Linked DNA regions of Elephas maximus indicus. The protein of the gene in region 4 binds, or shares a complex with, the protein of the main gene of each other region. Links are inferred from orthologs where the notes say so. Each region holds a gene or a part of one and is shown on either strand. Other genes may lie near its edges.

What was found.
Region 1: DPM2 (region 4) and PIGH share a complex: the UniProt entries of both Homo sapiens proteins name them as parts of the glycosylphosphatidylinositol-N-acetylglucosaminyltransferase (GPI-GnT) complex. The link is inferred for Elephas maximus indicus from reciprocal best matches to the Homo sapiens genes DPM2 and PIGH.
Region 2: DPM2 (region 4) and PIGY share a complex: the UniProt entries of both Homo sapiens proteins name them as parts of the glycosylphosphatidylinositol-N-acetylglucosaminyltransferase (GPI-GnT) complex. The link is inferred for Elephas maximus indicus from reciprocal best matches to the Homo sapiens genes DPM2 and PIGY.
Region 3: DPM2 (region 4) and DPM3 share a complex: the UniProt entries of both Homo sapiens proteins name them as parts of the dolichol-phosphate mannose (DPM) synthase complex. The link is inferred for Elephas maximus indicus from reciprocal best matches to the Homo sapiens genes DPM2 and DPM3.

Annotation. Positions count from the first base shown.
Region 1 is NC_064828.1:79,954,347-79,962,286, forward strand, and holds the start of PIGH (phosphatidylinositol N-acetylglucosaminyltransferase subunit H), read right to left. Parts: upstream 3,367-7,940; 5' UTR 3,286-3,366; coding exon 3,106-3,285; intron 681-3,105; coding exon 471-680; intron 30-470; coding exon 1-29. UniProt on the Homo sapiens protein: Part of the glycosylphosphatidylinositol-N-acetylglucosaminyltransferase (GPI-GnT) complex that catalyzes the transfer of N-acetylglucosamine from UDP-N-acetylglucosamine to phosphatidylinositol and participates in the first step of GPI biosynthesis.
Region 2 is NC_064823.1:66,837,908-66,845,290, reverse strand, and holds PIGY (phosphatidylinositol N-acetylglucosaminyltransferase subunit Y), read left to right. Parts: upstream 1-5,746; 5' UTR 5,747-5,763; coding exon 5,764-5,979; 3' UTR 5,980-6,520; downstream 6,521-7,383. Other genes in the region: PYURF (protein preY, mitochondrial), read left to right, coding at 3,987-4,171, 5,528-5,669. UniProt on the Homo sapiens protein: Part of the glycosylphosphatidylinositol-N-acetylglucosaminyltransferase (GPI-GnT) complex that catalyzes the transfer of N-acetylglucosamine from UDP-N-acetylglucosamine to phosphatidylinositol and participates in the first step of GPI biosynthesis.
Region 3 is NC_064821.1:193,064,562-193,071,430, forward strand, and holds DPM3 (dolichol-phosphate mannosyltransferase subunit 3), read right to left. Parts: upstream 1,958-6,869; 5' UTR 1,820-1,957; intron 1,733-1,819; 5' UTR 1,728-1,732; coding exon 1,446-1,727; 3' UTR 1,115-1,445; downstream 1-1,114. Other genes in the region: SLC50A1 (sugar transporter SWEET1), read left to right, coding at 103-222, 302-403. UniProt on the Homo sapiens protein: Stabilizer subunit of the dolichol-phosphate mannose (DPM) synthase complex; tethers catalytic subunit DPM1 to the endoplasmic reticulum.
Region 4 is NC_064827.1:79,029,128-79,038,030, forward strand, and holds DPM2 (dolichol phosphate-mannose biosynthesis regulatory protein), read right to left. Parts: upstream 3,559-8,903; 5' UTR 3,244-3,558; coding exon 3,241-3,243; intron 2,936-3,240; coding exon 2,846-2,935; intron 2,050-2,845; coding exon 1,947-2,049; intron 1,133-1,946; coding exon 1,074-1,132; 3' UTR 311-1,073; downstream 1-310. Other genes in the region: EEIG1 (protein FAM102A), read right to left, coding at 8,534-8,579. UniProt on the Homo sapiens protein: Regulates the biosynthesis of dolichol phosphate-mannose. Regulatory subunit of the dolichol-phosphate mannose (DPM) synthase complex; essential for the ER localization and stable expression of DPM1.

The DNA.
Region 1 (7,940 bases), on a different chromosome or scaffold from region 4:
AAAATGCAGAGGTAGTAAATCACCTTCTGCTGTAAGAAAAGAAACCAAATAGCAGAAGTCCAAGTGAAACTCGGTTTGTTTTCTTTTTCTTCTTCTTCAAGGGGAGGCTCAAAACTTTTTCTCTAAGTAGTAGAACACCTGATAACCTTGAAATGGAAAAGGAGAAGTATATTCTCATTCTTTAAATGAAAAATACAAGAGATGATTTTGAAGCTGGGCTAGAAACAGTTGAAGTGCTGATTCCTTATTCATAAAAACCTATTCTCTTTAAAAATAGTCCTATCTTTTCAACGTAAGTTTCACTCTTATGGTTTATAGACACATCAGCCAAAAAAAGAAACACTGCAAGTACTAGAGCAGAAGATTCCTCAAATTTAATTCTATGACATCAAATACTTTAGTATTTGATTCAGGAACACCCCACCTGCTACTTCCTCCAGAAAGGCCTGTAATACTTATTATACACTTACCATGTAAATAGCCTCGTTAATGACAATATCCTTCACCTTGCCCATCTCAATAAAGGTGGTGCTTTCTTTGCCTGAGGCGTAGGATGAGGTCAGCTGGATGCCCAGGGAATCAATGATTAACAGAGTCTCCTGATCAATCTTCACAAAATGGAGGTAACCAAGTAGGCCTAAGAGGGTGATGAAGATGGCAGCAGAGAGGATCATGCTGTTCTGAAGAGAGAGCCAGAGGCAGGCAGTAAGATTACCAAGTGGTCCTGCGCACACTGCTGCTGTGTTAACAAATCAACTCGGGCGGGGCGGGGCGGGGCGGGGGGGGGCAGAAAGGGACAAAGGACAGGCGAAAATCTTTGTTCTACTGTGAGTTGAACAGATGCAAGACCCATACATAAGAGGAAACCATACAAAAGAGGAAACCACTTTTATCTGGGTTCTGCAAGTATATAGGAGTCCTTGGGTGGTATAAATGGTTAAGTGCTTGACTACTAGCAGAAAGGTTGGCAGTTCGAACCCATCCTGAGGTGCCTTGGGAGGCAGGCCTGTCAATCTGCTTCTGAGAGGTCACAGCCTTGAAAACCCCACAGTTCTATTCCGCACACATGGTGTCACCATGAGTCAGAATCAACTTGGTGGCAACTAACAACAGCATACAAGTGGATAGTGGAATAGATCCAGATAGCTTCCAAATGGACAGGTCTGTGGAGGGAAATCCACAGCAAAATGTCTGGCATCACACCAATGTCAAAGATTTTTCTTCCAAAAGTGCAATTTAGGGACCCAGATCTTTTCCTCTCTTGCTCCCTCAGCAGAATATACAGTGCAAAATCACAGACTGAACAATTGTAAAGTACTTCGCACCAGTGCTGCAGATACTACTCACTGCCTATTCAACTGCCGCTTCTTCCTAGTAGAACTTGGAGTGAATCATGACCTGGTCCCACTCCTTTTGCCAATGATTGGTTAGGAATGGGCACATGACAAGTCTGGCCAATGAGATGTCAGGGGAGGTCAGCTAGAGGGGCTTCTGAAAAACTTAGTTCATCTTAAAAAGACAGCTAAGGAAGAAGAGGTCCTTTCTTTATGAAGTTCATAGTGAGGTTTGATGCCATGGCCTTTGCCACATGAAGTGGAGATGGCATAAAAACAAAATTCTCCTATTTTAAAATTGCCTAAGATCAGCCCTCCACATGGAGGAGGCAACATGGTATAAACAAAAAGAAACGGCTTCAGAGTCAAACAGCCTTGGATTTGAATCCCAGGTCTACCATTTACTAGCTTTGTAGATTTGCGACCTTGGATAGATAAGTTATTACTCTTTCTGAGCCTTGGTTTTCTTCTGAGGTTGAAATGAGGCATTCAGTAAAACACCTGGCACTCAATAGGCAGTTAATAAGTTATCTGTCCCTGCTCCCCACATGCCCACAGGGGCAGAACTCAGGCTAGTATTAAAATTCAACTGTATTATAAATTTAGGTAGCTAGACAGATAAACATAGATAAATTACCATGCTCTGAAATATGCTGTGGTAGCAAAAAAGCTAATGGATGCAGTAATAGAAACTACCAAAATACGGAATAAATAGCTCTGCTGTATTTAGCTTTGACCAGACCACTCCTGGAATATATTCCATCCAGGACACTATACATGAAACTAGAACTTACCCTGGGAAAGGCAATTAGGATAAGTCCTTTTAACTGAGCGCTGTCACAAAGTTAGGACATTTGACCCACAATACAATACTGTGGAAGAGGTCCTGGTGGCACTGTTAATCAAAAGGTCCATAGTTCGAACCCACCAGCTGCTCCACAGGAGAAAGATGTGGCTGTCGGCTTCAGTGAAGATCTACAACCTTGGAAACCCTAAGGGGCAACTGTACTCTGTGCTACTTGGTCGTTAAGAGTTGGAATTGACTGGAGGGCACACAACAACAATACCGTGAAGCTAGTGTGGCAAATATTCCATTTTAGAGATGCGAAAACTGAGGCTCAGAAAAAATAGGACTGAGTCTGGAAATTGCTCGAAAAGTTCATAGTTCTTCAGAAAATACGTGAAACTGGGGAAGGGATTCAGGGAGGTAGATAGATTGCCTTGAAAAAGAAATTAGGAGGAACTATAAAAGCTGCTTTCAAGCTTTTAACGTCTGTGTGTATCTAGACACACACACATATACTATATATACACATACACACTTGTAGAGGCAGAGAGTTTCTGAAAGACTATATAAGGTATTGTTAACAATGATACCTGTGAGGAGTGGAAGCGATGGATGAGGGTGATCCACTAACAGTTCTCTGAACTCTCGGAATTAAATTACTAGGAGCATAACTACATAGCGCACATGGAAGTTTACATTTTAGGCTGTCGTGCAAGGACTAAGATGTATGCTGGGTGGATCCACAAAAGCAGAACAGGGATCCACGAGAGGGAGATGGTACAAGAGCACAAACTTCACTAAACGTAATGAAAAGATCCGTCCAGCAGGACAATGGCGTCTCCAGAACCAGCGAGTCCTCGTCCTCCGACCCTACAACTGTAGGAGGATCCGGCAAGAGGCTCGAGCTCCACCAAAAAGACCCCAAAGAGCCTTCCAAATCCGAGCCCCAACTCCGAGGGCAGGGAGAGGCCGACCGGCCATTACCTCACAGAGGGTGAAGAGTCCGTAGGCCGCCAGCCACACGGTGCAGGTGACAGCGGTGAGGGAGCGCAGCGAGAGCCGAGGGCAGCTGAGGCAGAACTCCCGGCAAGAGGGGGAATAGTAGCGGCGCTGCAGGGCCAGGCGGCCGCCGCAGATGTCCGAGAAGCTCCGCTCGTCCTCCATTGCCGGCTCGCCCCCACCCAGCGGGGCCGCGCCGCGCCGCGCCGCGCCACTCTAGCCCGCCCCACCGCGCCGTCTCGCCGGCTCTCGGGCCACTTCCGGAGAGCCGGGTCAGCGTCCCGCCCCCCGTTCGGCGCAGCCGCAGTTCGGCGCTGAGAGTCCGGGAGGTTAAGTGAAGAGTTCATCGTGCCCCCGGTGTGTTCGGCCGCTATTTTCGGCTTCTTTGTCTTCTCCAAAGAGTCGTAGGGGGCCAGCGACTCAGCAGACAGATTAAAACCGCTACTAACAAACGTGGTTTCGCCCGACAAACTGATTTATATTTCTAAGCCAGAGTGTGCCCCAAGGAGACAGTCCACAGGTATTCATACATTCCAATCATTGTTTTATTCGTTACATATTTAATGACACCTTTTTTATTGTGTACTAGGGAAACCCTGGTGGCGTAGTGGTTAAGTGCTACCGCTGCTAACCAAAGGGTCGGCATTTCGAATCCGCCAGGCGCTCCTTGGAAACTCTGGGGGCAGTTCTGCTCTGTTCTATAGGGTCGCTAGGAGTCGGAATCGACTCGACGGCACTGGGCTTGGTTTGGGTTCATTGTGTGCTAGATAGTTTTAGGTGCTGAGGATACAGTGGTGAATAACATTGACAAGGTCCCTGTCCTCAAGTGGCTTCCTTTCTAGTGGGAGAAATAATATGGAAATAATTTCAGAAAGCCGTCGGCAATAAGGTGATGACCACAGGCAGGGACGGGTGGGCCGGGGACTTTAAACAGGGCATTCAAGAGAACGTCTCTCTGAGAGGGAAACTTTGGAGCTAGAAGAATGAGAAGGAACCGAACATTGGTCTCAGGGAGTTCTGCAGGTGCACTTTGTCAGGAAGAAGGACGAACAAAGACAAAGCCCTCGAGGCTGGAACAAGGTGAGCTTATTGGAGGTATATAAAGGCCATGGAGACAGGTGCCTGGGGACAGATAGGTAAAAGATCCAGAAGGGTCTTGTATGAGACGCTGTAAGGAGTTAGATTTCACTGTCCAACTTCTCTCTCCCAGACCTCTGCTGGGAGGTAGACAGTAGGAGTGTGAGATGCAGTTTATGGAAAATAGGATTACTAAATGTATGTAATAAGTCCTGTGGGTTCCCTCCTCTTACCTCAGATGTGTCCCGTGAGCCACGGTGTGGCCTATTAAAATAGTTATGATGCTTCAGCCCTGAGGCGTAAGGATAAATGGCATAGAGTTCTCACTAGCTTTAAGTCTCTCCGATGCCAGTCAGGTTCAGTTGCTCCATTCTCATGCAGAATTTTTTTCCTTTTCTTTTCCTAAATTTTTCTTCAAATATTGCTTTGCTTTGTTTTTCCAGTTTTATTTCTGTGCCCCGAATCTTCCAACCAATACTTTTTTTGTGAATATCATTTAATGTCTTTTACAATTATAAAAGTAATATTTGCGTATTGTTGAAAATTTGAGATTTTTAACTGTACAACAAGGAAGAAAACTTTAAACCACCTATATCGCCCCCACTGAGACATAAGCACCGTTGGTGTTTTAGAGAGACCTCTAGTCCTGGAGTTCTCGCCCAGGCATCCCTAATAGCATTCAGAGTCTGCGGACTTGGATGGGGAAAAAATTTCCCCTTTAGTTTCATTAACTTCTAACTGAAATTTAACATTTCTTTTGATTATGAGTGCAGACACAAACCAAGTAGTATCAGCAGTGATTTTGTCACCAATAGAAATCACAAATATTTTCTTTTCACAATAATTGTTATAAAAATCAAACCTGTCACCATCGAGTCAATTCTGACTCACAGTGACCCTATAGGACAGGGTAGAACTGCCCCATAGGGTTTCCAGTGCCTGGAGCACTTAACCACTGTGCCACCAGGGTCTCCATAATTGTTATCTCAAAATGTCCTTTTCACTCATAACTACTTCAAAATTGCAGTAATTATTAGACCCATCACTAGATCTTGTTATTAATGTGTCAGTAAAGAGATACATATGGCTATAACACATTTGAAAAATATTTTGATTACTATATTTCAATTCAAGGAGCCCTGGTGGCATAGTGGTTAAGTGCTCAGCTGCCAACCAAAAGGTTGTCAGTCTGAACCCACCAGCTGCTCCGCAGGAGAAAGATGTGGCATTCTGCTCCTGTAAAGATTATACAACCTCGGAGACCCTATGTGGCACTTAGACTCCGTCTTATAGGGTTACTATGAGTCGGAATAGACTGGACAGCAACAGGTTTGGTTTTGGATATTCACATTCTGTTGGTTTTCTTTGAAATCCAATGTTTTGTTTTTTTTTTTAAATGCAATTTAAAATATGATTGTGATAAGGGATCCGTTAGCTTCACCAGACTTACAAAGGGTCTGTGGCACAAGAAACGTTAAGAACCTGTACCGGCTTAGAAAGTTTCACAGCAGTAGAGGCATAGAAAGAAAAAGACACCTAAATGTACACTTAACATTTTTTGAATACTATTAGGAATATATATGGTAGTAAAGTAATCCCAAAATCTTTATATCTACTTTGTTTTGTCACATCACAGTATCTTCTTAACTCTATTATGCAGTTTGGCAGCTCAGTAGAAATTGAAACCTATGTGTTTGCTATTTACCTAGGTTCCAGTTAGAATGTGAAATGACAAGTTTTCATGACCATGATCTTGCAAAAGTATCAAGGAGTGATTGTTTTAGCTCTCAGTATTGGATTTCAAAATATTCTCAAATCTCAAAAGTTCCATGGACTATATTTGCAGGGTCAGTCATGGAAAAATAGAGAAAGGGAGCATGAGAAAAAATATATACCCTCTATTTTCAAGGTAGGATAACTGCTGTAACAAAACACCTTACAATTTCAGTGGCTTGACACAATAACTGTTTATCTTAAGTGCATAGTTCCACATGGGTGTTCGTGGTGAGGTGACACGCTTCCAAGTCAGCGACCCAGACTCCTTGCATCTAATGGCTGCACAACCCCCTAGGGCCTTCTCGTGGGCCTCTCCATTGGATCCTCTGCATCTGGCTGGCAGATGAGGGGCAAGAATGGAGGAAGGTGCATGAGACGGTTTTCTGGCCAAGTCTTTGGCCCACATTTCCATTGGCCAGAACTCATTAGCATGGCTATACCTAACTTCAATGGAGGCAGAGAAACAGCATCTATCAGTGTGGGGAGGGATGGTTGAGGAGAAATGATCTGGTGAACATTTAGTCAGGCAAAGGCCATATTCTTCAAAGAATTCTGGCTACAAGAACCAGGAACTATATTGGAGTGAATTAAGCACTGAGGTGGCAATTCACAGGATTAATCTCCCAGACTTACTTTTGGTATGATGGGTAATTATTTCCACTGTTAAAGTAATTCTTGGAGCCTGAGTGGTTTTGAATTTGAATAGCAAAGGAAAATAGAGTAATTAAAATACAAGTTCAGTTAACTTTTTATTTTTAGGGTCCATGCCAGATTCTTAAAACCCTTCCATAAGTTCTATTTTAGTGTTTGCTTACATTTATGGGTTAAATAGTCATTCCAAGAATACAATCTTAAACCAAAAACAAAAGCTGTTGCTGACCAGTTGATTCTGACTCAGCAACCCTGTAGGACAGAGTAGAGCAGCCCCATAGCGTTTCCAAGGAGCAGCTGGTGGATTCGAACTGCTGCCCTTTTGGTTACCTGAGCTCTTAACCACTGGGCTACCAGGGCTCCTCTGTCTTGTACTGTTGCTTCTATTCTGTTTGCTTTTTTATGATATTAATGATTGCTACTGCTATGTTAACTGATGGTAGGACTCCTACTAAGGGCCACTTACCCCTAAGCGTTCTGTGAACTCAAAGGAAACTAATAACAACCCATAGAGGAGAAAAAGCAAAGGCCCACGTAAGTAAAAAGTAATCCCAATGAAATGGGGTTTTAAAGAAATAAACTTTTCATCTGTTCATTTCTAGAATTCCATTTTGATTTATCTAGTGTTTTTGAGTATATCTCTTCATATGGTTTTTTTAGTGGTTGCTTGTTTTAGTTATCTTGTGCTACTATAACAGAAATGCCACAAGTGGATGGGTTTAACAAAGAGAAATTTATTTCCTCACAGTAAAGTAGGCAAAAAGTCCAAATTCAGGATGTCACCTCCATGGGATGGCTTTCCCTCTCTGTCGGCCTTCTCATCAGTCTTCCCCTGGAGTAGGAGCTTCTCCATGCAGGGACCCTGGGTCCAAATGACATGCTCTGCTCCTGGCACTGCTTTCTTGGTGGTATGAGGTCCCCCGTCTCTCTTCTTGCTTCTTTGTTTTATATCTCAAGAGATTACCTGAAGATACAATCCAATTTTGTAGATTGAGCCCTGCCTCACTAACACATTAACATCATAGAGGCAGGATTTACAACATACTGGAAAAGCACACAATACCGGGAATCATCCCCCAGCCAAATTGATACACACGTTTTGGGGGGGGGGGGCATATAGTTCGATCCATGACATTGCTGTAGGTATTAAATTATGTATATATAACTTATCACAGTCTAGTGATATTGACATTTTACCAGTTCAAATGAAGTGTAAAAATCTTACCTCCCTTTACATCCCTTTACGCTCCCCATTTATAATTGTCTTGAGTAGTTCCTCTATATACATTAAAAAACCACAGTGTTATAATTTTTTT
Region 2 (7,383 bases), on a different chromosome or scaffold from region 4:
AAAATCACACAATACTGGGAATCATGGCCTAGTGAAGTTCACACACATTTTGGCGGGGGCAGGGGGGGCACAATTCAATTCATAACAAAGGTCTTCCTCTTTTTTGCTGACCCTCTACTTTACCAAGCATGATGTCCTTCTCCAGGGACTGGCCCCTCTGGATAACATGTCCAAAGTAAGCGAGATGAAGTCTCATCATCCTTGCTTCTAAGGAGCATTCTTCTGGCTGTACTTCTTCCAAGACAAATTTGTTCAGTCTTCTGGCAGTTTGAGGTATATTCAGTATTCTTTGCCAACACCATAATTCAAAGGCATCAATTTTTCAGTTTTCCTTATTCAATATCCAGCTTTTGCACACGTACGAGGTGATGGAAAATACCATGGCTTGGGTCAGGTGCACCTTATTCCTCCAGGTGACATCATTGTTTTTTAACCCTTTTGTAGCAGATTTGCCCAGTGAAATGCATCATTTGATTTCTGGACCACTGCTTCCATGAGCACTAATTGTGGACCCAAGTAAAATGAAATCCTTGACAACGTCAGTCTTTTCTCCATTTATCATGACGTTGCTTATTGGTCCAGTTTTGAGGATTTTTGTTTTCTTTATGTTGAGGTACAATCCATATGGAAGGCTATAGTCTCTGATCTTCATCAGTGAGTGCTTCAAGTCCTCTTCACTTTCAGCAAGCAAGGGTTGTGTCATCTGCATATCACAGGTTCTAAATGAGTATTCCTTCAGTCCTGATGCTGCCTTCTTCATGTAGTAGAGCTTCTTGGATTATTTGCTCAGCATATAGATTAAGTATGGTGAAAGGATACAACCCTGAGGCACACCTTTTCTGACTTTAAACCACACAGTATCCCCTTGTTCTGTTCAAACAACTGCCTCTTGGTCTATGTACAGATTCTGCATGAGCACAATTAAGTGTTCTAGAACTTCCCTTTCTGGGTGCCATGGCAGAATGGGCCTGAGGTCTGGGTCAGGTCCCCTTGGGGACTGTGGGCTGCAGGGTGGGGTGGGGTGTGTCAAGGCAGAGGCAGAAGGGACTAGATGGAGGAGGGCAAGAGGGTGGGTTGGTACTCTGGTTCCAGGCTGTATGGGTTGCTAAGTGGTTATAGCCACTATTCACCAGAGGGGTGGGCGTTGTAGGAGCGTGCTCCTGTGGTTACCTGGTAAGACAGCCTGGGCTTCTCCGTGAGTTGCAGCCAGCAAATGTGGTCTTACTTAGTTCTGTGTGTCTGCACTGTACCTCTATCTATAGAAGTGCCTTTCTGTGTGCAGGGTTCTTGGCTTTATTCCAACATGGCAACACTGAGTCATGCTGTCTGGTCATGAACCTCCACTCTGTACCTCTATTCCTTCCCCATTTTCTATCAGTTTCTTCTCCTCAGTAACTTCCAATCTAATACTTTCCCCCTTCATTTAAGGCTTGGAGTTCTAGGACTGATGTCTGTATCTATTTTACTTGCTTTTGGGGTTTTTGCTGCTGGGATGGTTTAGTGCATCTGACTAGTCTGCCATCTTCTGGTGTGTACATTTGAATAATAGTTGTATTAGCTGGTCTTCCTTGTAGGCGTGTAGATATTATCCTTCACTGACAGTGTGGTACTTCAGGACGGATCTTGAAATGTTCTTCTTTGACGATGAATGTGATGCCGTTCCTTTTCAATTTATCATTCCTGGCATAGTAGGCCATATGATTGTCCAATTTAAAATGGCCAATACCAGTCCATTTCAGCTCACTAATGCCTAGGATATTGATCTTTATGCATTCCTTTTCATTTCTGAAAGATTTCCTAGATTCATACTTCGTACATTCCATGTTCCAGTTATTAATGGATGCTTGCAGCTGTGTCTTCTCATTTTGAGTTGTGCCACCTCAGCAAATGAAGGTTTTGAAAGCTTGATTTCATCCACGTAATTCAGGTCTTCTCTCCTTTGAGGAGGCAGCAATTCCCTAGTTGTATTTTAAATGCCTTTCAACCTGAGGGGCTCATTTTCTGGCACTATGTCAGACAATGTTACACTGCTATTCATAAGATTTTCACTGGCCAATGTTTTCAGGAGTAGACTGCCGGGTCCTTCTTCCTAGTCTTAGTCTGGAAGCTCCGCTGAAACCTGCCCACCAAGGGTGACCCTGCTGGTATTTGAAGTACCGGTGGCATAGCTTCCAGCATTACAGCAATATGCAAAACACCACAGTAGGACAAACTGACAGATGAGTGGTGGAAGAGGATACTGAGCGGTTTAAAACAACAAAAAAAGGTGTGCATCAGGGCTGTATCTTTTTGCCATACTTATTTAACCTGTATGCTGAGCAAATATTCTTAGAAACCAGACTATATGAAGAAGAACTCAGCAACAAGATTGGAAGAATACTCATTAACACTCTGTGATATGCAGATGACACAACCTTGTTAGCTGAAAAAGAAGAGAACTTGAAGCACTTAATAAGAGCAAATACTACAGCCTTAGGTAAAGAAAACAAAAACTTTCACAACTGGACCAATAAGTAACATCATAATAAAGGGAGAAAAGATTGAAGTTGTCAAGGATTTCATTTTACTTGGGTCCACAGTCAATGCCCATGGACACAGCAGTTAAGAAATCAAAAGACTCATCGCACTGGGCAAATCTGCTGCAAAAAACCTCTTTAAAGTGTTAAAAAGCAAAGATGTCACCTTGAGGAATAAGGTGCACCTGACCCAAGTCACGGAATTTTCAATCACCTCATATGCGTGAGAAAGCTGGACAATGAATGAGGAAGACTGAAGAAGGACTGACACCTTTGAATTATGTTGGTGAAGAATACTGAATACACCATGGGCTGCCAGAAGAACAAATAAATCTGTCTTGGAAGAGAGTACAGCCAGAATGTTCCCTGGAAGTGAGGATGGTGAGACTTCGTCTCACATACTTTGGACATGTTATCAGGAGGGACCAGTCCCCAGAAAAGGACATCATGCTTGGAAAAGTTCAGGGTCAGCAAAAAAGAGGAAGACCCTCAAGGAGATAGGCTGACACAGTGTCTGCAATGCTCTTGGGTGCAAGTATAGCAACGGTTGTGAGGATGGGGCAGGACCAGGCAGTGTTTGTTCTGTTATACATAGGGTCACTATGAGTTGGGATGGATTGGAGGGCACCTAACAACAACAACATACAGACAAGGAAACAGCAATTATTTGTCAGAAGTCTTGCAGGTAGTTAACTAAGGAGCTGGAACCAAGCTGTACAGGTCTCAGAGCCTAATCTCTTGCTACACTCTAAGATCAAAACCTGCATCACTCCCTGGGACAGTCAGAGGCAAACATGGGGTCTTAAATTCAATTAATGGACATCTGCCTAATTATACAATTATTTAAACTCCTCGCTGCCTCCAAGCGCAGTAAATTAGTTGTGATTTATTATGCAACTGAAATCACAATGCTTGAGTCATACAGGGTAAGAAATATGAAAATTCTGGATGTTTTGGAGGTTAAGAGGCTCAAGCCATTCTTTTCAGGTTCTTAAATTTTATTTTTTAATGAAGGGAAAAAAAAGGTCAAAACAGGGTTACAGAAATTCACATTAAACACTAAACGAATTAATGCTTTTAACAAAGAGCTTAAAGCTTCATTTGGAGATAACTGCGTATGTCCACGTCTAAAGCTGTGTGCATCTGAGACCCGGACACTGGCTTCCTGACAGCCCTGAAGAAAACTCAACAGAGCCCGACTTAAGCATCGGTTTTGTCTGTGGTTGTGTAAATGCGATGGGTTGGGCACCCGGGGCCTCCGGCCCCAGGCAGTTACCTCAGCCGCAGGGCGGCGATACAGCCAAAGCAACTGGGTCAAGAGCGCCTCCGGAACTAAAGCGTTAGCCTGTGTCTGCTCCAGGGCTCCGTTTCTCCGAGCACCGGGGGGCGGGGCCTGGCCAGTGGGGCTCGGCGGAGAGCAGCCCGGGCTGGCTGAGGGTGCAGCGAGGTGAGGTCGCCGGCTGCTGGACCATGCTGAGTGGCGCGTGCGGCAGGCTCGTCTCAGCGCCGCTGTCCGCCGTCGCCCGCAGGTGGCTGCACGCGTCGGTGCCTAGACTGTCGGCGGACCGGAGCGCGAAGGCGGGGGAGCAGCCCCGCGCCTTGGACCCGGCGCTGCTGGAGTTCCTGGTGTGCCCGCTCTCCAAGAAGCCGCTCAGGTGGGACTTGCCGGGCTCCGTTTTCCCTTCGCGGCCTCCTGTTGGGAGGAGAGGGCAGGTAGACCGCGCGGCCTCTCACAGCCTTTGGGCAGCTTTTCAGGTTCATATGTGGTCTCGGCGGCCATTTTGTGGGCCCAGGCCCTGCTGAGCGCCCACGCAGCTTCTCCTGCGACCTGAAGGGCGAAAGGAGACTTGAGGCGAGCCGAGCCCCAGGCCTCCCAAATTAGCCGCCGGCCCGCCGGAATGCATCGGAGCGTTGATAGGTGCTCTAAGGAATCACCAGGGTGCATTTGCGGGGGGTGGGGGACGTTGTCTGGGTACCGACACGAGCGGACCGGGTCGGAATGCCTGGGGGCGGGGCCTGGACGTTTGTTTTTCTGAAAAGGACCATGGATGATTCGTGAAGCGTTCAGGTTTTAAACCCACGGTGATGAAAAATATGCTAGTAGCTTATTTTTGTGAAATGGCCGTGTACAGCTACTGCCTAACGGTATTTTAAAAATTTGAGCTTTGTTTGCTGCCCTTTGGCTCTTCACTCTGAACTAACTGGTTATTGCAAATGCTCTCTTAACCTTTAACATAGTCTTTGCTAAAGCGGCTGTACAGTTCCAGCTATTAAAACTGAACATTGACAACGGTAGTGTTACAAATTGCATAAACTAAACACCAAAATGTTAACAGTGATTATACTTGGGTGCTAGATTGCCGGTAATTTTTATTTTCATCTTTTTGCATTTCTCTTTTACTAGTGTGCCCTATAATTAACATAACGGTCATTCAATTTTTTTTAAACCTTTAAATTATTGTTGGGTCTGTCTTTTAGCTAATTGTGTAACTCGCTCACTTTAGACTTGTTTCCAAAGTTTCCTCATTTCTGCCCTCCCATCGTTCTCAAACTTTTGTGTATTTTGATTTTTCAGCGATTTCCATCTAGTGGATCAGTTAGGATACTTTACTGAGCATTTATTCTTAAATCAGGAAATTGAATTTTTCTCTAGTTTCTGTTCCAGTAGTAAATGGATTGGGATGGTTTTGGGGTTAGCCAGAGGAATGAAGGGATGTCTGGATGAAAAGAGGAAATATTTTCTGAGCAGTATGAGAGAAAACTTTTAACTAAGGCATGACTTGGGAATACAGTAAAAAGAGAATTTGAGAGAAATTGATTAAAATGGGAACAATTACAGATTTTATAAGAGAAATGGTAATATTGGCTATTGCTGCTTTTAGAATTAAAGAATACAGTTCAGTGTTAACTCTGTCGAGAATTGGACAAATAGTATTATTTATTGAATATCAAGGTCTTCCAAGAATTTTGTTTTACAAAATTCGCTTTGTGATTCTTTTCTTTTTTCCTAGATACGAAGCATCGACAAATGAATTGATTAATGAAGAGTTGGGAATAGCATATCCAGTCATCGATGGCATTCCTAATATGATACCACAGGCAGCTAGGATGACACATCAAAATAAGAAGAAAGAAGAAATGGAGCAGCACTAAACCATAATTTTTTTAAAAAAAAGAAAACTGAATTCTCTTAATATCATTTATCTTTTAAAAAGTCAGAGTGGCGGGTAATAAGTGTGGAAGAAGAATGTTTCTGTCTCTTCCTACGTTGACTGTCCTTATTCCGCTGGTTTCTTTAGCAGGACTGTTCTACTCAGCCTCTGTGGAAGAAAACTTCCCTCAGGGCTGCACTAGCACAGCCAGCCTCTGCTTTTATAGTCTGCTCTTGCCGATTACCATACCGGTTTATGTGTTCTTCCACCTTTGGACTTGGATGGGTATTAAACTCTTCAGGCATAATTAATACAGCCAGATCCAAGATGGTCTTGGGCCTTTCTCTGAAAGTTCAACCAGATTGAAATACTGGAATCCCGTTTAGTTTGCAGGAAAGGTACTTTGCCTTGCTTCTGTCAGAAGCTTAGGACTATGGGAGGCTTAAGCTGCAGGAGCTTCTTTTATTATACTCTTGTTCTGCCCTTATTTTTTCAAAGTTCTGATTTATAACAACTACTACTATATCAGAAGAAACATTTTGACAAGTGTCTTGGAAATTAATAGCCTCATCCATCAGCTGATAACTTTATACTTTATCCTACTCGTCTAAAAAGTTAGTCATTTGAAATGTTGTTTGGTTATTTAGATTTAAGCTGTTTAGTCAAGTCACATGCTAGGAACGATTGAAACAATTCCAGAGAAGCTGTGCTAGAAGAGTTCTAAAGAAATGCCTTTGAACTGGTGTGATATAAAACCTTACAATAAAATGGAAATTTCACATACTTAGAAAAAATCTTAGTTTGTAAAATTATCTTCATTTCTTTGGCATCACATGCTTACATTAATAATAATAAAATAAGATGTCCACACTTTCCCAAGTCGATTCTGACTTACAGGGTTGCTATGAGTCGGAATCCACTCGAAGGCAGTGCGTTTGGTTTTTTTTGCGGGGGGGGGGGGGGGGTGGGTAGTGCTTTTTGTCACAAGAGTGGTATAAAGGGAGAAAAATTGTAAAAATGTTCCAAATTTTAAAATGTAGGCTATGTTGAGAGACATGTACTTTGGACATGCTGTAACAAATACCACAAGTGGATGGCTTTAGCAAAGAGAAATTTTACTTTCTCACGGTCTAGTAGGCTACCTACCTGTTGCCATTGAGTTGATTCCGACTAGAAATCCAAATTAGAAATCCAAATTCAGCTCGTCAGCTCCAGCTCCTTGTCATCAGTCTTCCCCTGCCTAGGAGCTTCTCCCCACAGAAACCCCTGGTCCAAAGGACACCCTCTGCTCCCAGCACTGCTTTCTTGGTGGTATGAGGCCCTCAACTCTGCTTGCTTCTGTTTGTTTTATCTCTTGTAAGGTAAAAGGTGGTACAGGCCATACCCCAGAGGAACTCGTGTTACATTGGATTAGAGATGTGACCTGAGTAGGGGTGTTCCATCCCACCCTAATCCTCTTTCACCACAGCAGAGATTATCATTTATAACACATAGGAAAACCACAAAATGGAAGACAACCACACAATACTGGGAATCATGGCCTAACCAAGTTGACATATTTTGGGGGGACACAATTCAATCTATGACAGTTGTTACGAGTTGGAAGTGACTCAAAGTTACCTAGCAACAATGTTTAGAGACACATTTAATACCTAAAATAGAAACATTTCCCAGGAAAAGAGCTCCACTTACCTTTGGGAGGACTTGCAAATAGC
Region 3 (6,869 bases), on a different chromosome or scaffold from region 4:
TTTACTATGTGTTTGGGCTAGGGGTGGGGCCTCACTTTATAGAGGCAGTGGGAAGACTTCGATAGCCTCTGATCAGGGCTTGTCTTTCATCCTTTTTCACAGGCCAACGTCATTAAGACTCAGTCAACCCAGCGTCTCTCCTACTCACTCACCATTGCCACCCTCCTCTCCTCTGCCTCTTGGACCCTCTATGGGTTTCGACTCAGAGATCTCTACATTATGGTAAGCAGAAGAGGGATGGGTGACAGGCGTGCAAGGTGGAAAACCAGCTCCTCTCGTCATAGTAGCCTTATGATTTCAGGTGCCCAACCTTCCAGGAATCTTCACCAGCTTGATCCGCCTCTGGCTTTTCCGGAAGTATCCCCAGGAGAAAGACAAGAACTATCGGCTCCTGCAAACCTGAGGCATCTCACCTGACCACTGGGCACTCTAATGGCAACCTAATACCAAAGAGAACCCCTCATTTCAGCTGTTCCTGTTGACTAGCCCCCCACGGGTATAGTGGGTTGTGGAAAAGAAAAAGGGATGACTTTGTGAATAGAAGAACCAAAGTAAGAGCTTTACCTAGAAGATGCGGTGGGACCTGGGAGATGAACTGCTTTTATTTTTTAGAGAGATTATTTTTTTTAATTTTGGAGGTTGGGGTGATACCTTTAGAATGTGCCTTAGAATAAACTGTTCCTCACCGCTGCCCACCACGGCTCATTCTCTATTCAGTGATTCTCAACCTGCCTGGTTTAGTAAAGGATAGTGACAAAGCAATCACTCTTTTAGCAGGGTAAGGGTGCCCTGCCTCATCCACCGCTACTTTAGGGCTGGTAGGGCTGCTCAGGAGTCCCTGGGTGGTGCAAATGGTTAAGTCCTCAAGTACTAGGCAAAAAGTTGGTGGTTTGAACCCACCCAGAGGTGCCTCAGAAGACAGGCTGGCAATCTGCTTCCAAAAGGTCACAGGCTTGAAAACCCTATGGAGTGCAGTTCTACTCTGCAACACATGGGGTCGCCATGAGTCGGAATCGACTGGATGGCAACTAACAACAACAACAAAGGTTGGCTCAGAAAAGGTATCTAAAAAAAAAAAAAAAAAGACGTTGGAAAGACCCAGAAAGACCTCAAAAAGAATGGAGCTTGGCTTTTATTAAGGAGAATAGAGGTTAGGCATATCTTCTGACAGGGTTAAAAGGACGAGGAAAGTGGAATGACATCTCCATGCTGAGAGATCTTAAGGTCTTTGCCTCCTTCAGTTCAAAACAGGAATGCCGGCAGGTTGCGCAGATAACGGTTGATACGACCTCAGGAAGCTGGAACCTCTCACTTCTCCACTGCCGGTACACATCCCTAATCACCATACCCCACACTCACACTTAACAACGCAGCAAATGAAAATGAATTTGCTCTTTAACGGGGGCTGGGAGGGAGGGCTGCCCGGGCAGGGGTCGGGGAGGGCGTTAGAAGCGCAGGCCCTTGCGGGCCAAATCGGCCCGGGCCTCCTGGATCTGAGTCTGCAGCTCCAGGGCGGCGTCTTCGCAGTCATGAAAAGTGGCCACGCGATAGCCCACGGTGCCCAGGGCAAAGCAGCCGACGGTCACCAGCAAATAGGCGGGCAGCGGCCACAGGACCTCCCGGCAGGTCAAGGGCAGCTCCAGGCCCAGGGTGGGGCCCATGGTCAGGGCCGCCCAGGTGGAGCCCAGGAGCGCCAGCCCCCACAGCCACTGCGCTAGCTTCGTCATGGTCCCTGCGGGAAGAGAAAGCAAGCTCGGAGTCCCTTCCACCCCGCCATCCCCTCTGCATGTGAGACCTAGTGCCTGTGCTTCTCACTCACCCACTCTCCGGATCACCTAACCTCAGCTCCGCTGCTCGGTGGTTCTCGCTGTTCTCGCCCTCTCCATTCAGTTCTCAACCCACCGTTCCCTCTCTGCCCCGCGTCTTCTTTGCCTAGCGCGGCTGGGACGTCAGTGTCTGGAAGCCTACGGCGCATGCTCTGCTTCTGCTCGGCCTTCTGGGAATTGTAGTCTTTCTCCGTGCAGTAGCCTAGGGTACTTGCGGCCCCTGTCTTCCCCAAGGCGGCCTCAACCGACTCTTGGCAAGCCGCTTGCTGGGCCCCGAGAGGCTTTGGGCCGGCTCCCCTAGCTCGGGGCCCTGCTTCAAGTTGCGCCCTAAGCAGATGGCACGAGGCTTGTAGAAAGCCTGAAGACACACTCATATCTTGCAACAAAGTGGAATCGTAATGTCCTTCCCCTTAAACCCCGTTCTACAGTACAGAAATACCATTCATTCATTCATTCACTAACTTCTTATTTCATTCGTTTATTCATTCGAACATTTTTTGAGCCCCGTGGCAGACTGCGGGGTATAGAGATGTCAAGAGACCTGTCCCCTCCTGGGGTGGAGGGGGAAAGCAGGAGTCAGGAAAGTGGATACACTGACAACTAGTCACGATGACAACTAATCGAAGAAGCTTGGAACCAAAGAATGGAGGGCTCCGGGCGGAGGGGCGGGAGTGCCTTTAAAAGGAAAAAAAAATAAAAGAGTTGAACTGGGGGAACGGAAGGATTACCTGATATATTTAAAGGCATCGAAAGAAGGCGTATTCTTCTTTCGGAGTGTTGGGGATGAATTCCTGATGCGTATATAGAAAGCCGAGGCTCTGGTGGCACAGTGGTTAAGAGCTTGGCTGCAAACCAAAAGGTCAGCAGTTTGAATCCACCAGCTGCTCCTTGGAAACCCCGTGGGGAAGTCCTACTTTGTTCTATTGGATCACATTGAGCTGGAGTCGACTCTACAGTAATGAGTTTGGTTTTATACAGAAAACCAAGCAAAAGAAAAGATCAGACAATTACAACTTCAGGGAAAACAAAGCTATTAAAAAAAGAAAGAAAGAATTGATAAAGCCCATAGTTAGAGTTCGGCTTACTAACTTTATTAACTTGCTCCTGCAAGGTAAAGCACACACCAGAGGAACCACGGGGCAGTTCATCCAACGAAGGAAGAAACAGAGTCTTACAGGATACGGGAAAGGGCTGAGTTTAGGTGGAGTCCCTGGGTGGTGCAAAAGGTTAACTCTCTCCACTTATAACCAAAAGTTGGAGGTTCGAGTCTACCCAGAGATGCCTCCGGAAAAACTCCTGGCGATCTACTTCCAAAAGTTCACAGTGACTGAAAACCCTGCGGAGCACAGTTCTACTCTGACACACACATAGGGTCGCCACGAGTCAGGGTCTGCTGGAGGGCAACGGGTTTGAGTTTAGGTAAAATTTAAAGGAAGCAATGTTTTGATGAGTTCAAAGGAAAACACAGCTGTATGTAAAGGAATCAACAACAAACCCCGGCTGAGAAGTGGACTCAGGGTCTGGCTGGAAAGCACAAAGTTAAGATAAATGTGGAATGTTGTGTCCAGAAACCCACTATTGGGTTTGCACCTAGGTTGGAAATCGAGGCTGCCTCTCTGTGTCACAGTAACTGTTAGGGATTGAATTGTGTTCCCCAAAAATATGTGTATCAATTTGGCTGGGCCATGATTCCCAGTATTGTGATTATCCAGCATTTTCTCATCTGATGTGACTTTCTTATGTGTTGTAAATCCTATCACTATGATGTTAATGAGATGGACTAGCAGCGGTTGTATTGATGAGATCTACAAGATTAGATCCTGTCTTAAGCCAATCTCTTTTGAGATATAAAAGACAGAAGCGAATCGAGAGACTGGGGGACCTCATGCCACCAAGAAAGCAGCTCCAGGAGCAGAGCGTATCCTTTGGACCTGAGGTTCCTGTGCAGAGAAGCTTCCAGACCACAGGAAGATTAATGACAAGGACCTTCCTCCAGAGCCAACAGAAGAGAAAGACTTCCCCGGGAGCTGATGCCGTGAATTTGGACTTGTAGCCTACTAGACTGTGAGAGAATAAATTTCTCCTCGTTAAAGCCATCCACTTGTGGTAGTTCTTTTATAAGCAGCACTAGATGACTAAGACAGTAACCAACATGGCTCAGGTCTTCAGACAAGAGTGAGATATTCCATTCTCATTAACGTGATTTCAAATAGGCAAGTTTGGGGGTGTCTATGATTTTAGAGAATGAGGTTTCTCAACCAATGTCCGTGATATGAATGAACAAAAGTAGGGTTTTTGTTTCTTTTTTAAATTGTGCTTTAAGTAAAAGTTCGCGATTCAAGTCAGTTTCTCATACAAAAACCCATTCACACACTGTTATATGACCCTAGTTGCTCTCCCTACAATGTGACAGCGCACTCCTCCTCTCCACCCTGTATTTCAGGTGTCCATTCAACCAGCTCCTGTCCCCCTCTGCCTTCTCACCTCACCTCCAGACAGGAGCTGCCCACATAGTTTCATGTGCCTACTTGAGCTAAGAAGCACACTCCTCACCAGTATCATTTCATGTCTTATAGTCCAGTCTAATCTTTGTCTGAAGAGTTGGCTTCAGGAATGGTTTTAGTTTTGGGCTAGCAGAGAGTCCAGGGGCCATGGCCTCTGGGGTCCTTTCACTCTCTGTCAGACCATAAGTCTGGTCTTTTTGCTAGAATTTGAGGTCTGCATCCCACTTTTCTCCTGCTCTGTCAGGGACTCTCTGTTGTGTTCCCTGTCAGGGCAGCCATTGGTGGTAGCTGGGTAGAACAAAAGCAGTTTTTACAGGTTCACAGAGTCTTAGTACAAACACTACAGAGCAGAGGTGTGAGGAATATTTTCACAGCCCTAATAATGTAAACACTGTGTATTGATTTAACCAAAAATTGGGAGAGTGGGGGAGAGGAGTATATTAGGAGAATCAGGAGTAGAAAAAATTAAACGCTCATCTTCTGTGGCTGGAAGTCAATTGGTTCCATCTAAAATGGGAAAAATCAAGAAATAATAATATAAGGATATCATTTAGAAATACTGAGACAAATACCAGAAAAAGCAGCCAAGAAACTTGAGAGTGGTTGTCTCTGAGGAGTGTGTATGCAGGGTGGGAGAAGTGGAGCAGGGGACTGTCATTTTTCATGACAAGGCTTGTAGAGCTAAGTTGATTTTTTAAGTATATGCATACGTAAAAATTAAGACAAAATAAAAACCATTTTTAAAATCTGCTATATGTGGCTGCTATCCACAAGGTTGGCAATTGGAGGTTCGAGTCCACCCAGAAGCACCTCAGAAGAAAGGCCTAACAATCTACGCCCCTAAAATCAGCCACTGAAAACCCCCTGGAGCACAGTTCCACTCTGACATACATGGGATCGCCACGAGTCAGAATCAGCTGGACAACAACTGTTTTTTGTTTGTTTTTTAATGAAGGAGGAAGGACAGGGACTGTGGGTATCTCAGGACCTAAAAAACCTGCCATGTAAGTCCCTATCCTCATCTCCCTGCAAATCCTACTGGTTGCTCAGTCAGGCTTCCCCGGTCACAACGACTTTCAGATGTTAGCCCAGTTCAGAAACTGAGCATCATCTTTGTAAATCCAGAAATTCTGTTTTATTAACCCGGAGTAGAACTGGCCCTGGAAGACTGACTGCCACTTCCCAGAAAAAAAAGTTTCCGGGAGGAGAGATAACAAGAAGGGGCTTGCCCCACCAGCCAGAGAGATCGATAATCATAATCAGCAGTAAAAGAAACATTGTTGCGGGGCTATTCTGTGTCATGCCCTGTGCAACATTGTCATGTCTCATTTTTACAATAGTTTTTGGGTTCAGTGGATACTTTTACAGCTCCACCTATAGATGAGGAAACCAAGATGCAGAGAAGGTAAGAGATAAGTAACTTGCCCAAGGCCATGCAGATAGTAAGTAGCAGAGCTCGTTTCATCTAAACCAAAGCCATGTTCTTAGCAATTTCACTCCACTGTATTCACCCTGGTGCCTAACCAAAGGGTCGGCAGCTCAAATCCGCCAGGAGCTCCTTGGAAACTCTTGGGGGCAGTTCGACTCTATCCTATAGGGTCGCTATGAGTTGGAATCGACTCTATGGCAGCAGGTTTTTTTTTTTTTTTTTTTTTTTTGGTTTTTGGGTTTTTTTTTTTTTTTTTTGGTATTTGTGTTACTGGTACAGGAGTGGGTGGATAAGGATCATGATAATAACTGACATTCCTTGATTACTATGTGCCAGGCATATGTGACATGCTTTAAGTGTATTATCTCATTTAATCTTCATAGCAATGCTATGAAGTAGGTATTATTATTATCCCCCTATTTTTCAAATGAGGAAACTGAGCCACAACCCAGACAACCTGACTCCAGAGTCTGTACAGTTTACCACTACACTGTAGCACCTCCCTCCCTAGATGAATGGAACAGAATAGAAAGTGAAGGTCTAGACCAAGCAGACATACAAGTTTAGCATGACAGGTGTGACATCTCCAGTGAGTGAGGAAAGATTAATTGTTCTAAAACTATTTGCAACTATTTTACCATTGGAAAAAGTAAATTGAGTTAGAGTCCCACCTCACACCTTATAACAAAAGTAATTACCAGTACATTAAAAAATAAATTAATTTAAAATGTTACTTTTGTAAATTCATGTAAACAGAGAAGCCCTAAACGTGCTACAAGAAAAGGTGAGTACCTGTTTCTCTAATTTTGAGCTTGCATGCCGCATCCTTCACGCAGCCTCCCTGGCCTGGCCCCGCTTGCAAGGTTGGTCACCACCTGCCTCTTCTGCACTTCCACAGTCTCTCAGTTATAGATGGCCCTTAATCTGTTGAGCAGAAGGGTTTTTGTTTTCCTGCTTGTCCTGCTCAGGACCACTGTGTCTCCAGGACCAAGCATAGTGTGGGAAACCCAGCAAGCCTTCTATAAATGTGAGGTGAGGGAAGTAAGGAAGAAGGTCAGGTTAGTAACTGATGGTCTTAAGGGAAACTGACCCAGCTCTCCTAGTCCCAGA
Region 4 (8,903 bases):
GCTGGGTGCTGGCAATAGATGATGGGCTTGGGCTTTTAGGGGACTGGCCAGAGGCTCCCTGGAATGCTAGGGTCTGCCAGCTGAGGAGCCAAGGGAAGGTACAGTGGAGGCTGATATGGTCTGTGGTTGATTCCTGTGCCAGGGCCCCCACCTGGCCATCTGGTGGGTAGAAGCCCAGAGCTCCTCCTCCAAGCACTTATGCCAACTCCCCTGCACTGAGTCCCCAGCTGTGAGCTCTACCAGGCCAGAACCAGTCCCTGCTCTTCCTTGTATCTGGCACAGGGCTGGTACAGAGGAGGCACCTGAGGTACCCTCACTGCATGAACCAGGGTCTTCTGACCTGAGGCCAATGCAGGGGCCAGCTCCGAGCTCCTCTCCAGTCCTCATGGCCAGCTCCCTTGTTCAAGAGTGGCACAAAGACAAACACATGATCAATGTTTATTGTTAAACTCTCCCGCATAGGCCAGCACTGGGGCCGGGGGGCTGGACCTCCATGAAGAGTGGTCAGTCTGGGGGTCCAGTGTGGCCACCCTAATGTGCCCTGATCCCTGGCAATGATCCCAGGGTCTGTCAGCACTTCCCCTAGGCTTTCCAGGTCCAGAAGTCCTTGTAGGGCCTGGGGCTGTGTCAGACTTGAGAAAGCTGCCTCTGTAGAGAAGCAGGACATGGTGGGGAAAGATCGCGTGCTCCCTCAGAGCCCGTTAAGTCCAACATCAGCATGTGACAGGAGGGAAACTGCAGCAAAAGGGTATAACCCAGAAGAAAATGTAACAGGGGGTATGAAGGTGAGGTGGAAAGGATCAGCATCTTTCAGGTCCTGGGGCAGAAGTAGGTGAGAAGGAGACTTCCAGGTACTCCTCCCTCCTGGCTTCTGGAAGGGTGAACAGGGGAGGAGCAGGGGCTCTGGTCAGTCAGGGGTGAGTCCTGAACAGCTCCATCCCATGGGCATGACTGCAGGGCAGCCAGGCTTGAGGGGCCTTAGTACCTGGACCAGTCCTACTGACTCCCACCCTTGGTCCCTGTCCTGGTGGGAAGCAGAAAAGGGACTGACAGCTTCATCCCCTGCCGGGACTTCACTGAGCCTTCTTGGCCACCTTCTTGTTCTTCACCATCACGAAGGTGATGAACACTCCTGGAACATACAGACCACACAAACTAGGTAAGATCTGGGCTCAGGGCTGCTGGAAGGCCAGGGAAGGACATGGCATGGTGCAGCAACCCACACGCAGGGCCATGCATCTACCCTACCACCCTCCAGGCCACCTGATCATCTTTCTAGTCATTCTACTCATTTATCAAGCCACGAATCTACTCACAAACACCAAAGGAGTCCCTACCACATGCAAGACACTGTGTTTGGTGTTTGAAATTCCATCTATGCATTTACACATTCAATCAATCCCCTGTCCACCTGCCTAACCACCCACCGATCTGCCCACTCCACATCCATCGTCCATGCACCCATCTATCCTATCATCCACTCAATTGCTGACTCATCCAAACCACTTTCGTGAGTCCCAACTCAGTGGCAAACCCTGTGTCAGGTGCTGTGGACAAAGAAATGACTAAGACATAGTTTCAGCTCTTAGAAAGCCCCCAAGACTAAACCACAGGAGATAGAGAGGTGCAAGAACTACAAACCAGGGTAACGAGAGGGTAAGAGGTAACTGAGGTGTGAGCAGAGTTACGGGAGTGGTGGTGGTAGGAAAAAGGCAGACATCTCACTGGAGTCCTATGAGCTTGAGGCATTGGGTAAACCAGAGGAGTCACCACTGATTTCCATCCTTGAAATGGAAACAGGACAACCCCAGGGAAAGACCTGGGGACAATAAGCCTCAAGTAGATCTACAGCAAACGCCAAAGTGTGGAAGTATTTTCGGGGATGAGAGAAGGTCGTGGGGGCCCTCCAGACAGTCATGCCGAGGGTTGAGAGAGTGATGACTTACCTACAAAGAGGAGCAGTAGGAGGCCCACGGCCAACGGGATGGCGACAGCATAGGCTCGGGGCAGGAAATACTTGTGGATGACATGTTGGCTGTCAATGAATGGCTGGCACCAAGGGCAGAGCTCTGGTGAGCATAGTTCACCTTGCCTAGTCTCCCTCAGCCCCCTAAGCCCAAATATCCTACCTCCTCTGTCCAAGGGGCTGACCCCATTCAGGGCATCAAGACAGCATTTGCTTTTAAGATGGTGGCATTGCGTGTCTTGATATGTTTCCTTCATTCGTTTAATGATTGTTTACTGGGTACTCGTTTGGTGGGCTAATGCCCACCCAAGCCACCCGCCCTGGGTTGGTGCTGGGCACCTGCCCTAGGGCACTTACAGCCTTACAGGGGCAAGAAGTACATAAGGAATCCTGATTCTCAACCTCAGTTCCAAGATCTTTACTAACATCTTTCTTTGAAGGATATGAGGTTCTACAAGATTTTGCCTTCCAAATACACTACAATTTCTAAGCAATAACTGCTAAATTTTCCCATAAGAAAGAAAAAAAAAATCCCAAAAGCCCGCACAAAATTCATTAGCAGTAGCTGTGTCCAGGAGCTAGCAGGATAAACAGAAAGACTAGAATTCCCATCAAAGGCAAAGCAATTCAGGAACAGGGCTTTACAGTGTAGTGGTTAAGCACACGACCTTGGGCTAAACCTTTTCCCTGAACCCCAGCTTCCTCACCTATAAAAAAGGAACACCACTAGCATCTTTTTATAATGGAGTTCTCGGGATTAAGTGAGGTAAAGGCAGGTGAAACACCTAGCACAGTATCTGGCACACAGTAGCTTCTTAAACGTTGTTAGGGACGGTGTTAGGGACGGGAGTAGGTGCATAGAGGGTGGGGGAGACGTACCAAGATGATCACCCAGACGGTGTAGTAGGTGAAGATGATCAGGCTAACAGCGACGAGAACGAGTCCCACCACCTGGTCTGTTCCCGTGGCCTGGAGGAAACGAAGGGCTCAGATAACAACCCTGACTCGCCATTTAGGCGCGCGGGGGCGTGGAGCGGGAGCGTCGCAGCCTGATTATGCTCTAAATTTCCCGTTCATTCAACAAACGTATTGAGGGCCAACTATGGAGTCAGTTTCCAGGCTGGGCAAGGGGTACCGGGCCTCGGCGTTTTCATCCGTACAATGGGCCAGCGGAAAGGAAATTTCGGTTCCGAGTGCCGAAGACCCAGCTCCTAAGCGGAAGCACCACCAGCCCCTAAATGCCCTCAACAGGCCGCACTCTGCCCCAAACTCACCATTACCCGATACGTTCCGACGCCGGAGCAGCAAGCCACTTCCGGTTCCGGGACTTTTTTTGCTTTGACCCGCGAGGCACGCCGGGAGTCGTAGTCCTCAGGCAGGCCCAAGACCACGTTACCTAAGACAGGCAGGCACCGCCTCCCCTTTGCATGTCGGGAAATGAAGTTTCTCAAGGGCAATGTGGGGAAGATTGTTCCCCGAAGGCCTCTAGGGAAATAGGACAGAGTTGGGGACCCAGACTGCCTGGCCCTCTAGGCCTCAGTCTTGTCGCGTTCGCCCCAGGAACCTAGCTTATTCCTATACATTGCAAAGACCCAAAATCAGAGCAGGATGGGCTGGGGGTCGGAAGTCCCATTTTTCAGAGGTCGAAAGTGAGGCTCAGAAACGGGCAGAGACCTGCTGGAGGTCACAATTCAAGGAATGGTGAAACTGAGACCAGAATCCGGTGTCGCTTCCCGGTCCCTATCATGCCTCCTGAAGGAAAGGGTACAGAGTAAGGCAGGAGCCTTTGATAACTGGGAAAAATCCCACAGCAAGTGTGGTCAGGAACCAAGCAAGAGATAACATCTTAGAGCTTGTATTTCCTCTTTGAGGCAGGACAATAAGCCTCGAGAGCTGGTTTAAGCTCGTTCGAGAGACCTAGAGTTAACTTTGGCTCATTAAGTGCCTTGTATATATTAACTTTCCCACCCTTAGAAGGGGTTTAACTGCTATTTTCTAAACACAAATTCAAAGAAGTTGTATGTTAACACTTATTGTGCCTGCGTGGCATGATTTAGAATGTTGCTGATGTATTTACATGATCTCCCTGTTTGTAAACTCTATAAAAGTGACCTCCTTAAACCTTTTTTTTTAAACCTTATCCTTGAACAGCCTTGGAAGCACCAGCCCTTGGGTGTTCCTTTCCTTGCGGAAGGAAATAAAGCTGCCTTTCTAATCTTCCACCTCAGCCTCCAAACCTGGGGTTTTCACCAGCTACAAGAGAGTGTTCACTGCTGAGTCTGCGGTGCGAGGAAGGGAGGCTGATTTGAATCCGCAGAGATGTGGGAGATTTCAATTGGTAGATAAGGGGAGCCTGGCTTAGGGATAGGTCCTACTTCCCTGGCGACCTGTCCTGTGTCCCTCTTCACTGCGGGCTGGGCCAGGGGCCCCTCCCTCCCTTCACCAGGGTGTTGCAGCAGCCCAGACACATTGGACTGGCCAGGAGATGGCAGGGCTGCCACCTCCCCCCCACCCTACACGCTTTGGAGGCCTTTTCATTTGAGAACAAAGGGTGGTTGGGCCAGATCATCTTTGACATCTCCCCACAGCTCACAGGGCCAGCAGCTCCTCATCCATTAGGCCTCACTGGGGAGTCCCCAGGGAAGTGGCTTTGGCATCGGGAAGCAGGGGCTCCCTCCTGTCTCCCCGTTTTAATTGGCTAAGGTGTTGGTCTGGCCCACTGTGAGCTCCCTGAGGGTAAGGCCTATGGTCACTGCTGTATCCAGAATGGGGCTTGGCACACATCAATCAACTAGCTTTAAGACTCTGATTTTTTAGATCCTGGAATGCTAGAAGGTACAACAACTGGGCACTCCAGGCCTCCTTGATGGGTTACGTGGAGGCCCTGGGCCTGCTGTTTCCCCTTCAAGGAGGAAGCAGCCAAGTCTGAGCCTGGCATGGTTTGCTCCTGCCAGCAGCATTTATCTCCTTGAGTCATGTGAGCTCATTTCTGACTATGGGGGTTACCCACCCCCCCGCCAAAAAAAAAAAGCTTATAGAACAGTTCCCTTCAATCTCAGGACTGATTTTGGGCTTGGCTGGAAGCCAAGTTTTCCCTCCCTGAGTGTGCCTGACAGAGGAAAGGGCTGAGAATTAGCATTAGGGCTTAATGGGGCCATGAGTTGGGGTAGCCCTGAGGAGGGGGGCTAATGTTGGCCTAGGGCTAGGGGCCAGGCTGGGGAACATGGTCCCTTCTGGCCTGTCCAAAGCCACTAGGCTTTCCATCATTTCTGAGCTCATTAAAGGCCAGGGCAACCTACCTTTCCCAGAGCTTGGCCAGGCTGCCCAGTTCTGTGTGACTCTGGAGTCAGGTAAACGGGGAGAGAGGCCCAAGGCCTAGCATGGAGACTACTCTGGCCTGGGGCTAGAGAGGCTGGGAACCTGCCCAGCACCTCCCACAGGTTAGGCTGTATACTTCCTTTCTCATAATACACAACCCCATTTTGCAGCTGAGAAAACTGAGTTATTTGCCCTCAGCCACACTCATTACAGGCAACCTGACTGCTGGGGAGGTCCACAGAGCAGTGGTTAGAACTTGGGCTCTTAAGTCAGAGACAAATTCAAATCCAGGACCTGCCACTTAGTAGCTGTGCGAGCTTAGCAAGTAATGACCCTTCTGGGCTTTGGTTTCCTCACTCAGATTTGGAATAATAAAGGTGGTGATAATGACTGTAGCCAAGACTTGGAGAACCCTGACCACGGACATCTTCCCCAGCCCCCAGAACATCACCTCACTCACACATCTGGGCTTCCTTCTGATGCTGTCTTTGACCCCAAAGTCAATGTGGTAAAGTAACAAGTAAAAAACAACATGCCATACCAAAACAAAAACCACAATATTTATTTTTTTCCCTTGAAACCAAGACACTGATACTAGACTGATTTCCCCTTCAAATGTTTTCTACAATAGAAGCTGGGACAGAGATACAAACACAGTCCGCTGAATTCGGGGGCGGTGGTGGCAGCATTCTGTTAGAAAGGAGAGGAATAAAAAACAAACAAACAAAAAAACCTTGCCTCACCACTCAACTCCCTAAGAGAAAACGTGGACATTTTCCACCCTGGTAGATCATATCATGTGGTCAGTTTGTGGGGTGACCAGAAATCACCCTAAAAAATACTGTAGACCTTTATTTTCTTTAAAACTCCTAGTAAAAATATTAAAACTGTCCTTGAAGAAGATTCCAAACTGGCATTGCATAGACCAATTCCTTTCCAAAAATATCTCTAATATATCTATCTCTATATAGAATTTGAAGTCCAGGAGCTGTACACACCTGGTGGGGATTCACTGAGCTCGAGGAGGCCAGAGGGCCGAGGAAAGGGCTCCCATGTGGGGCCGAGGCCAGGGCTCCTGGCCTCTGGCTCCAGCCAGTGTTAATTTGGTTGTGGCCGAATTCTCAGCTAGTCCAATTCTCCTGCCCAGGGCCTGGCACTGGAAGAGTGTGGCCTGGCTCTATTTCCTTCTTGGGTGACTGCTGAGCTCAGACCTCACCTAGGGCAGGGCTGGAGTTCCTGGTTTGGAGGAGTCTCCCCAACAGTGCTAAAGCCAACAGTTTTGTGCCCGAAACCCCAGAACTTTAAACCAGACCCCAAAACACCCTGAATGCACCTCCTACCTCCCTGGGCTGAGGTCACACAAACACAGAAGGAGGATGACACTCCCCCACCTTCTGGGGGTCACCCCATTTGGAGACAGCACCACCAGCTTCCTTTTAAAGTGCCAGGCATCTGCGGGGCAGGAAGGGACCCTCAGAGCTGACTAGAGCTCCATCCTGCCTTGGCAGGCACCTTCTAACATTCATTTTCTACAAAAAGACTTAGGTGATTAAAAAAATCATAAAACAGTAAAAACAAAATCAAACCTAAAAATGCTCTGGTCCCAATGCCAGCCAGGTTCCGGGACCAAGAACCCCAACTCTTGCTAGCAGGGGCAGATGAGAAGCTGGGTAAGGTGACCTCCCAGCCTGGGGAGGAACCCCACCTACCCATACCAGAGAACCAGCCTGTGCCCTTCCCCACATCTAGACGCCCAGCCCTGCTGAGACCCAGCCAGCAGGCAGAGCAGAGCACAGAACCTCCTACCCCTAACCTGGGGGAGGAGAAAATACCAAACTGTGAAGTCAAAAAAAGAAAAAAACAAAAAACAGAGAGAGAAAAGAAATGAAAAGGAAGTTACAGAACTAAACACCAGCCTGCTGGGTTTATACAAAATGAATGAAATTTAAAAGAGGGGTGGGGTGGGGGTCCAGGGACTGGCTAGTAGCCAGAATCCACCTTTAAGCAAGTAACAAGGACCAGGGAAGGAAAAGTGCTGAGAGCAGAGGCTTGGGGCGGGGGAAATGGAGAGGGAGGGGGGCCAGACTGTCCCCCACTGGAGAGATGTCTCTTACAGGACTTCATTTGTGCCTGGCCCAGAAGTAGGGGATGCTTTCAGAGGAGGGTTGAGTCTTTTCTGGCCAGGAACCCAGCTCCGGGCCAGCCCAGTCACAGCCCACCTGTCTCTTCAGTGTTGGCCCTAGCCTGGGCCAGCTGACCCTGAGGGCAGAGAAAGGGGGCTCTGCTTGCCAAGTCCAGCCTAGCCAAGCCCCCAACCTCCCAGGCCCTGGGGGGCACCTTTCCTGGCCTTCCTACATGAAACCCAGCTGCTCAGGATCCAGCCCTGGCAGAGGGGAAACCCCTTGACGTTCAGACCTTTCTCAGCACAGGTCCCAGGCCTGAGCTGTGGCTAACTGGAGGGAGGAGAGGCAGTGCCACGTTCCAGCCGGGCTGTGATGCCTGGGCCTCTGACTGCACAGCAGGCAGAGGCCAGGGATCCTTGGGACAGGACCAGGGAAGGGGTGGCAGGAGGCAGGGGGGCTGTGTTGGGGACAAGCATGTGCAAAGTGCAGACTGCTAGGGCAGCAGCAGAACATTCGATGGGGTGAAGTGTGGGTGGGGTGTGAGGTCTTGGTTCCCAGGAGGAGGCCGCCAGCAGGTCCCCCAGGATAGAAGGAAGGGATAGCTGAAGCACTAAGCAGTCAGAGGGTCACGGTGGCAGGATTCTGGGGATGGACTGGCTCCCCAAGGGCAAGGGGGCAATGGAGCCAGGCCCTGCCAGGGTGGCTGTAGCCAGTGTTCCTGGAGTGGGTGGAGAGGCAGGGAAGAGGCCTCCCAGCTACAAGCAGCCTCCTCATATTTAAGGGCTGCTGCTTGTCCCTGGCCAAGGGGGTCCAGTCAGTCTCCAGTGGAGACAGTCCTGCTCTTTGTCTTGGCCACCTGCTGCAAGGGCCTACTTGTCCTGCCCTCTAGTGGTTCAGAGGAGAATATTCACAGTGGTGCCTGGGCTCCAGGGGGCCAGAAGGGTCCCAGAATGGAGGGGAGGACCATGGAATGATGCTTTGGGGACATGTGGGGCTGGAGTACATGGAAGAGGCACAGATGAGATGTGGCCCAGATGGGGATCTGAAGGGGAATGTCCTTCGTGGGATGACATGAATCTGGATGTCCACGAAGGCAGGGCCCTTCTCCAGTCTGGACACCTGCTCCTCAATGGCTTTCGATCACGACTGGCTCGTAGACCCCAGAGGAGACCCTGCAGGGGAGAGACAGGTCAGCTCCACCTCCTCACTGTTCCATGTACCCAGCGCCCCTCTGGGCCAAGCCCAGACAGGTACTTTATAAGCAGGTCCTGCTAACCAGCACTGTTTTGCAGAGGGGGAAATTAAGGCTCAGAGATGTTAAATCATTGGCTCAAGGTGACACATATTGTGAGTATCAGAGTCAAGACTAGCTGCCAGGTCGTCTATGGGACCACAGAGTTGGCACAGGCTCTGTTCCCAAGCTCTTCCTGGACACCAGTGACATACACGTGGGTGTGCCATTCCCGTCCTCACAACAACTCTGTCAGACAGGGACC